Oryzias latipes: one gene and its partner. Each later gene encodes a partner of the first gene's protein in a complex. Links are inferred from orthologs where the notes say so. Each region holds a gene or a part of one and is shown on either strand. Other genes may lie near its edges. The genes, in order: ap1g1 and ap1s1.

What was found.
Region 2: the proteins of ap1g1 (region 1) and ap1s1 are in contact, whole or in part, in a crystal structure (PDB 1W63), measured with the Mus musculus proteins. The link is inferred for Oryzias latipes from reciprocal best matches to the Homo sapiens genes AP1G1 and AP1S1. Residues at the interface, in NP_001288140.1 of Mus musculus: Leu7, Arg8, Ile11, Arg12, Arg15, Leu54, Tyr55, His57, Met58, Gly60, Tyr61, Lys78, Phe79, Thr80, Arg83, Ile84, Leu87, Met90, Leu91, Asp94, Glu95, Thr115, Phe117, Leu123, Cys124, Gly127, Cys128, Tyr152, Lys155, Lys156; in NP_031483.1 of Mus musculus: Met1, Leu14, Arg15, Leu16, Gln17, Lys18, Trp19, Leu21, Ala22, Thr23, Asp25, Arg28, Lys29, Arg42, Lys45, Met46, Cys47, Ser48, Phe49, Glu51, Lys56, Gln74, Asp75, Asn76, Glu77, Leu78, Ile79, Leu81, Glu82, Leu83.

What each region holds. Positions count from the first base shown.
Region 1 is NC_019861.2:21,105,257-21,109,075, forward strand, and holds part of ap1g1 (AP-1 complex subunit gamma-1), read right to left. Parts: intron 3,296-3,819; coding exon 3,219-3,295; intron 2,092-3,218; coding exon 2,083-2,091; intron 685-2,082; coding exon 589-684; intron 478-588; coding exon 397-477; intron 324-396; coding exon 225-323; intron 147-224; coding exon 91-146; intron 1-90. UniProt on the Homo sapiens protein: Subunit of clathrin-associated adaptor protein complex 1 that plays a role in protein sorting in the late-Golgi/trans-Golgi network (TGN) and/or endosomes.
Region 2 is NC_019876.2:26,354,768-26,359,203, reverse strand, and holds the start of ap1s1 (AP-1 complex subunit sigma-1A), read left to right. Parts: upstream 1-1,544; 5' UTR 1,545-1,746; coding exon 1,747-1,749; intron 1,750-4,436. UniProt on the Homo sapiens protein: Subunit of clathrin-associated adaptor protein complex 1 that plays a role in protein sorting in the late-Golgi/trans-Golgi network (TGN) and/or endosomes.

The DNA of each region.
Region 1 (3,819 bases):
TGAAGAGTTTAATCAACATGCGTTAAAATGATTTGATTACATTTGAGATTACAAAGCTCACGAAAACATGAATCAGAAAAGAAATGTTACCTTATGTTCTTGTCATTGTTAAGAAGGAAGCGTCCTAGAATGTTAATGGCCAAAACCTGTTATAGAGAGGCATGAAAGTGGATAATTAAATAAATAAATGTTATCTATGAGAACAAAAAAAACAAAAAACTTACCCTCAGCCCACTTTCTGATTTGATATCCATTATAGTCAGGACAGTCTCATAGAGGATTGCATTGCCTACATTTTTACTTGTCTCTGTGTTTGTTGCCACCTGCCAGAACACGGCTCTGTTAGAATGAGGACTTTTTTCATCCAAACATATTATTCACTGGTTTTATCCAAACCTGTGCAAGAATGTCATTCATCGCTTCACTTGAGTCGTCGTCACCTTTGCCTAAAATTCGCAGTAGTCTCAATATCCGCACCTAGAAACCAAAACAGCCTTAATTAAGTCAAAGGAAGAATGAATATACTTCTTAAAATTGTTCAGCACAAACATTAGGTCTTTATTTACAGCTTTTAATGTGCGTTACTACCTGCAGGAAGGGGTCACTTATGCCTGACACGTCATGCTCTGGAGAGTATCCAGACATTATTAGGTTCTTCAGGATTCTCACCAACTGTGGAACCAGCTAGAAAAACACCAACAACACAAGAGAAAGAACAGATGTCACAATATTCTGCGTCAAACACCTAATGAGCTCTCTGTCTTATCATGACTAATATTAGTTGCTATTTTACCATAACAAATTAAAAGTAAATTTAACTCATAAGGGCAAATTCAGGTGGGGGAAGGGAAAAGGCATGTGCTCCACTAAACTGATATAATGCAGTTGGAAAAAATAAAATCAGGTAATTCAGTGAAGTTAAGAAAATTATAGCCTTGATTTTACAAAATAGTAGGTTAGAACATTTAGATTTGAGACCTTCCCTTAAATAAAACAATTTTAAACAAAGATGTTTGCAAGTGGGATTTCTAATCGTCAGGAATTAAAAAAGAAAAAAAATGAACACGATTTTTTTATGTGGTGGGGGAATATCCATCCAAAACAGCTTTAGTTTTTATCTTACAGTTCACCTTTTGCAGTTTTACAGATTTTTTTGCACGATTTCTCTTTTACATCACATTGTGTTTTGCATCCTGATTGGCTGTAGACCTTGCCAATCAATCTCTTGTGTGTCGTAACTCAGAATGCATTCAGCTTGCAACGAAGAGCTTTGTTTTCATTCTAAAGTACTGCACTTATTTTTCTACAAATGTTTGACCCTTTGAGCGTTTAATCACGAGAAAAGTGGGAAAGGGATAATATTGGTCTGAGAAAAGTTATCACAGGTTATTTTTAACTGCAGTGATTAACGGGGGACCACTGTAAATCCTTTTTAGTCTAACTGTGCCTTCAAGAAAAGAGCAAAATGTCAATATTAAATTTGCAGAACGCTAACATTTTCTAAAAGAGATGAAAGACAAATATAGCAAACAGCAGGTAACTGAGCTATAGCTAGATGCCGCTCAAAACTAATTTAAAAAACATTCAAATAACATTCAATTACTGTAAAAAAAAAAAAAAAGAAAAATGTTTTTTTAGTTTTAGTTGCCTGGGTTTGGCCGACAGTACATATGGCTGAATAAAGCTTTAAAGTTGTGCACGGTTTTGACTAAAAAAATATTTAACTTTGATTCCAAATATGGCAAAAATACGGAGAGAAAAATCCATTTCCACAAACACCTGTACCTATAATGTAAAAACAAACCCACAACGCTAAATTTCAATACAGCGACTAAACAAATTTAGCATTAAGCGAAAAACAAAAAAGTGAACAATGCATCCAACAAATGGACAGAAACTGATCAAATTGAAGACACTTACATAGTAATGATCACTGTACATGTTAATTAAACAAAAACTTTAAAAATTAAAAGGAGGAAATGACAATACTCAAAAGAAATGTTGTTACATCTGGACTGTGACTGTGAGGGGTGATTACTAAAAATAACATGCACCAGCTATGAGATCAGAATATACTCTTACCTTCTCATTCTAACACAATGCAGGAATTGTAACAAAGACAAATGACAGAAAAAATATGAAGTAGATGTTAGGGAGGGGAAACTGGAAATCATTTATTTTCAGATTTTAAAATAATGTTTAGATCATGAGTATGATAAATGGAGCTTTTGGCAGGTACAGGTACAGCAGCAATTGAGGAAAAACAGAGGAAGAGACAGTCGAAGGAGATAAAAGACTAACATGTTCTGAATGCAGAGGTTACCTCTGGTGCAGTCCATCCCCTAAGCTTTACTTTGTGTTTGTCAAACTAAACTAACAAAATGTGTAACCAAAGAGAGAATGAAATGTGATATGAGCTTTTGACAAATACTTTAAGACAGGGCTATTCAATTACACATTTTTTTAAACTTTACATTTGGGGGGGGGGGGGGGGGGGGGGGGGGCACAAATTCTCAATGGATGGAAAAATAAGGTTAGTGCCATGAGTCCAGTAGACTCATTTCTGTGACTTCTCTAAAACCCTCTGAAAACAAAATTACTTTTAAAATGAATCAAAAAAATAAGTAAAAAGGGATGCTTATCAGCCAAGTTTGGCACAAAACAACAGATATTTTATTGTTTGTACATTAAGATGCAAATATAGGCTAATACAGTATCATTACAAATGGGAATTGTTGTTGATTCCTTTTATGTACAAATAGCTCATGGTCTGGTGAAGCACTTCTCAACTGCACATGGTGTTGACATTTGGTAGTGCTGGATTCTGGGGACTGGCACTCTGGCACTTTAACAAAGCTTTATTACAGCTTTAAATGTTTTTAGTAAACATTATACTTTTTTGTGCCACTTTTATTTTACAGAGTTAACTAGGGAAGAGCTTTCCCTTGTTTTTGTGACTGACAAATGTTGGGCAATAGCTTTTTTTTTACTTACTCTTAATTAATATAAAAAGGAACCCTAGGTTACTCAATGTGTTAAATTCATGGGATAAACAGGTGTGAGGATTACTTAAAAAAAAGCATTACTTTTTTATAACTAGCACTGTGTGATTCTGCCCTGGGCCCATCAGAAGTTGCTCTTAGCAGATGTGGACCACAGGGCACCATTTGAATAGCCCTGCTTTAAGTTTTTAAATGAGAAAATCTGAAAATGTGTACCTTTCTGAAATGGGCCAGCATGTCAGGACTTCTTTCACACATCTCAGTGAGGAGAACGACTGACGTGTGGAGAACACCTGGGTGAAAAGATAGAAATCATCCGTACCATAAGAAAGCATTTCCAGTTCTCTAAATGCCCCAGTTTGCAGCTTGATTTGTTTTTATTCCCTTTTCTGTAAAACTACATTAAGAAAGAACCAAAGTATCAAAACTGGATTTTCTTTACTTGTTCATTTGGTCAACATTGGAAAAAAAAAAAGATTCATGTTTGCACTGCAAAACAGTCAATTAAATACAAGTCAAGCCATTCAAACAGTTTAAAAAGCACAGACTACATGTTTTTACAGGGAATCCTGAGTCTTTTTGTAAGCTGTGGTTCTGCAAAAGTATATTTCTAAATCTCACACCATATGGTCTCTTCCTGTGAAAGGATCCTGATTAATGAGTCATTCACAAACATCACATTCGCATTTACAGCTGTACTTACTAAGGTGAATTATCAAAAAGTTGAACTGTTTGGGTAATAATAAAACATCTCTTACTTGTATAAAACAGTTCTAGCTGCCATATTCCAACTGAAGGATATGCAGTGATTGACCAT
Region 2 (4,436 bases), on another chromosome or scaffold:
GTCATGTGTGTTATTGCTGTTTCCTATAAAGCTTCATCAGTATTTTTGCTGTTTTCATATTTATTAAAGTTTTGTGAATTTGCACATTTGCAGCCTTTCTTTCCGTACATTTCCATACGTCTTTGTTGTGGTGCAGGTTTGCTCCAAAGCTACAGTCGCTGTTTTCAGGTTCAGGGGAGAACTAATGGAAGGATTATAAACAAGTACCGTTATTTAGATTTAAATCTGACTTTTTGCTTCTGCATACCTGGGACGAATAGATGAACTGTACAGGGTGAACCGCGCCTTTGCCTGATGTGTTTAAGCAAGCAACAACTTTTATTGAGAAGTCGATGTAAACACAAGTATAAGTGTGATTCAGGCTTCAAATCTTAAGCATTCATGTGATGCAACAGAAGTTTTCATGCCAGTTTTCGAGCTCCACGCATAAAACGCACGGCCATTAAAAGTAAAACCTACTGAACATTGACCAATCAGGTACTTGGATTTGGAAGAAATATTTGGATCCCGTCCCCCTTCATTCACAGAAGTGCCAATCGTTTGAACGTGGATCGTGGAGGAGAAATGAAAAAATGTGGTTCCGGCTGGAATTCTATGACGCCAAGTCTTTTATGTATCGGAATAGAGCTGTGAAAGAAAAAGTCGGAAGCGAGATTCATGAGATTTGCATCACTTTGGCATTTCACGCCAAGCCTCCTCTAACTGTGAGAACATGCGCTAGTATCGGGTAGCGACAGATCAGTGTGTACACCATGCGTTCAATAACCCGCGTTCAGCGTGTTCTTGTGATGCTCATGTGTAGTATGACAATGGCTGGGATAGGCTCCAGCAACCCTGTAACCTTAAAAAAAATAATTAAGCTGGTTAAGAAAATGAATGGATGGAGTTGCAGTGTCTGCATATTTATTATTTTAACTAAGGATGATATTTGAACTCTAGCAGCTGAGAGCAGCTTCAGTAAAAACATTTGAAAAGGCTAAAATGGAACAAGTGACTCCCCAACACTAAATGTTGGGGAGTCACTTGCAAACACTAAAGACCCACTCTGATGAAAATTGTGTTTTGGTGTCTTTAACACGTTCTTGTGGCATTTTTCTGATGATGAAGGACATATATGAAGAAATTTAAACTTAAAATGTGTTTATGAGGATTACTTTATTCAAGTCGTTGTGAATCAGGAGCAGATGAGATAATTCTCTTTGAAAAAGATTGCATTTGTGACATAGAAAATATGCTGGTGGGCCACCAGCTCCCTGCTCGTTCCTTCGTTCGTCCGTCCGTTAATTCGTCCGTTCCTTTATTCATTCAGTCATACATACATACATGCATATATGCATACATGCATTCATACAGTCATACACAAACACACACACAATGCATGCATAAATAAATACATTTTTTTATGGTTTGATTTTACTTTAAAATGTCATTTATTGTCTTACATTTATTTGACAATGTTTACATTTATTTATTTTCAAATATTTAAAAGTTTTTACTTAATGTCCTCAACGTCATAGACTAGCATACGCGGATGTGTAGTGCGCATGCTCGGTCTTAGGCGGAAGTGCTCGGCTACCCGGACCCGTTGCAGGGCTGCGGTTGAAACCGTCGGTCCGTATCGCGGCTCTGCAGCTGTTTTTCGGTCCGGTTCGAAGAGCTCAGACATGGACCTTTAGCGTCCGCCGTGTCTGCGTCGTTGCAGAGTTCGTCCGTGTGCCCGGAAGAGTGCTCCATAGCCGGCAGAGAATGGTAAGCGACCGCCGCCACTCTAGAGCCAGCTGTGCTAATGATGCTAGCAAAAGCAAGGTGTACTGTTCCAGGAAATGCTCACCTGCGCTCCGTTTACCTGCCTGAAGGCCAGGCCGCAGCCCGGGGGGCTGCTTCGACCGTCCTGATCCACACGTGCCTGGAAAAGTAGGACAGGTGTTGGTAGTTTGAGATCCACAGAGCTTTAGGGTGCAGATTTAGTCCAGCCAGGTGTAGCTGGCGGCGCAGAGCGTCGTCCCTCCCGGACATGATGAGGTGGCCAGGTGAGGTATACCACCTGGACCCATCATCAGGCGGGATATCACCTTTGAATTGTTGATCTTAAATCAAATAGAATTGGTGAGGGCTCTGCATCCATTAACTATGAAATAGTTTTTAATGGAGAAATTAATTAGTGTTGACTTTGATGACGTGTCATCATCTTTGCTTTCATTCTATAATACTTGAGTTACTTTTATATGACGGTTTGAACTCAGAGTTTAAACAAGAGAAAAGTGTGAAAAGGTTCATGTCTGTTGGAGAAATGTGTATAAAATGTGCAACGATGAGTTTTACGGCCTTAAACGTCTGTAATTATTTGTGGATTCGGCCTATTTTTTTTTTAACGTAACACCTACGATAAGTGAGGAAACGCTGTACACTTGGGCCATTCTGAGGCCTGTTGGTTTATTGGGCGCAAAGAATGTTTGTAAACTAGAAAGACATTGGCACAAACTCTTCACGCCAAGCATGGAGGTGAAGTGTGATGATATGGGCTGGTTTGTTGTTGAGTGAACACCAGATGTTGCAGCTTTGCAGCATCTGGCTCATGTGCTGCTCACCAGCAACACTCAAGGTGTGCAATCTTCTAGTCTTGTCTCCCTGCTGGGCACCATATAGTTGACATCCACTTGTGCACATGCTGGTGTGCCGCTGTTTTCGTGGGTTTTCGGTTACCCGTGAGCTGTGCTCCTGATAACACTGCAGTACTGAGGAAGAGGAAGCATGGGGAAATGAAAGCTTTTAGGGTTTTGTTTTTATATTTTTTTTATTTTAATCTGCCCATTTGAAAAATGAGACTATAGGAACAAAAGATGTGTCTGCAACAAGCACCGGGCTTCAATCCGGCTCAAAAGAATCGACTTCAATCTCCACCTTCAACAAATAAAAGATTGCTGCTTTTTCGACGCCTGTGGTCACATGAGCGTTTGGGTCACTGAAGTCCGAGATCATTGACAGGATCCCTCTGGTGACACGAGCACTGATAAATCTGGAGCTGTTCTACATAAATAAAAACCACGTTCAATCCTGATTTCTGTGAAGGACTCTTGTAAATACACTTTCTAAAAAAAGAGTCCGGTTGAATGTCTCCTCTCCTAAGGGCTTTAAAAATGAGTTAGACCTCATTCAGCTCTGAAAACCTCTGAGTGAAGCTGCCCGGTTCAGACGCTAAATTTAACTTCATTGTAGCTTCATATGTTATTTATAGAGCACATAACCCAGACTGAGGTGGCATTTCCTGCTGATTTCAGTGAAACCTTATGCAAATGAAGTCCTTAACAGGCACACTCTACATCAACTTAGCTCTATTTTATGAAACTTTGAAGTTCAAGCGAAAACCACATTAAGTAGGTCTTTTGAACCTTGATAGAAAATTTGATTTATCATGACAGTTCTGGGGCACCTGGGAGTTTTGTGGCGTGTGGTCATATTTTCAGGCTTTAAAGGAGTTCTTGAAACTCTCAAATGTCCTGGTTCTTCTCGTCTGTCTGACAGATTCACAGCTGATCTGTTCCTCCTTTTGGAAAATGTTGGGAGCAACCATTGAAGGTCTTTTATGGAAGCTTAGCATTTAGAATCACATGATTGTTATTTGCACTCAACTACGTTTCCTGTAAGTAGGGCTGCACGATATGAAGAAAAACTCGCGATATGCGATATTAGTAATTAATATTGCGATAACGATATAATTTGCGGTATTTAAACAATTAGCAAAACAACCAAAAATATTATTCCCATTCCATTACAACAGCTTAAAAATTATACTACAAATGACCCTTGTTGACGTAGGAGGCGAACATACAACATAATAGGGCGCCATCCGATTAGTTAACAACGTGAAGGGGTCCATCTGATTGGTCAAATGCAGAAAGGGATTCTTTCAATCCATTAAACACGTCAAGCTGCCATAAGATTGTTTGGCCACATCTAAGGTAACCATTTATTGCAAATTTGCTGTCTTTTGCGATATGCATATTGCACAGCTTGAAATTGCGATAACGATAAATTTGCGGTATATTGTGCAGGCCTACCTGTGAGCTTAAAATGCGTCGCTCAAAAACAAGAAAAGGTGTTCTGAACAGATGAGAATCATTCACGAAAAAGAATCGCTGCTACAGAATTGAGCGGCATGAAAGACTTGAAGATGGAGGACATGGATAAAAAAAAAATGCAATTTTGGAGTATTTCTTTATTCAAATCACTGTGAATCAGGAGCAGAAGAAAATATTCAGTTGGAATAAAAATGTATTTGTGAAGCAGAAAATACGCTGGACCGCCCACAGTCTTCCTGCTCCGCTCCATTCTGATGCATCCACTGTCAGAAACATAGATCCAAGAACGTCTTTGTTTTCCTGGTCTGAGCTGGAATCTGGATCTAAGATGTACGGCTGGAAAGCTCCAAGATTGCT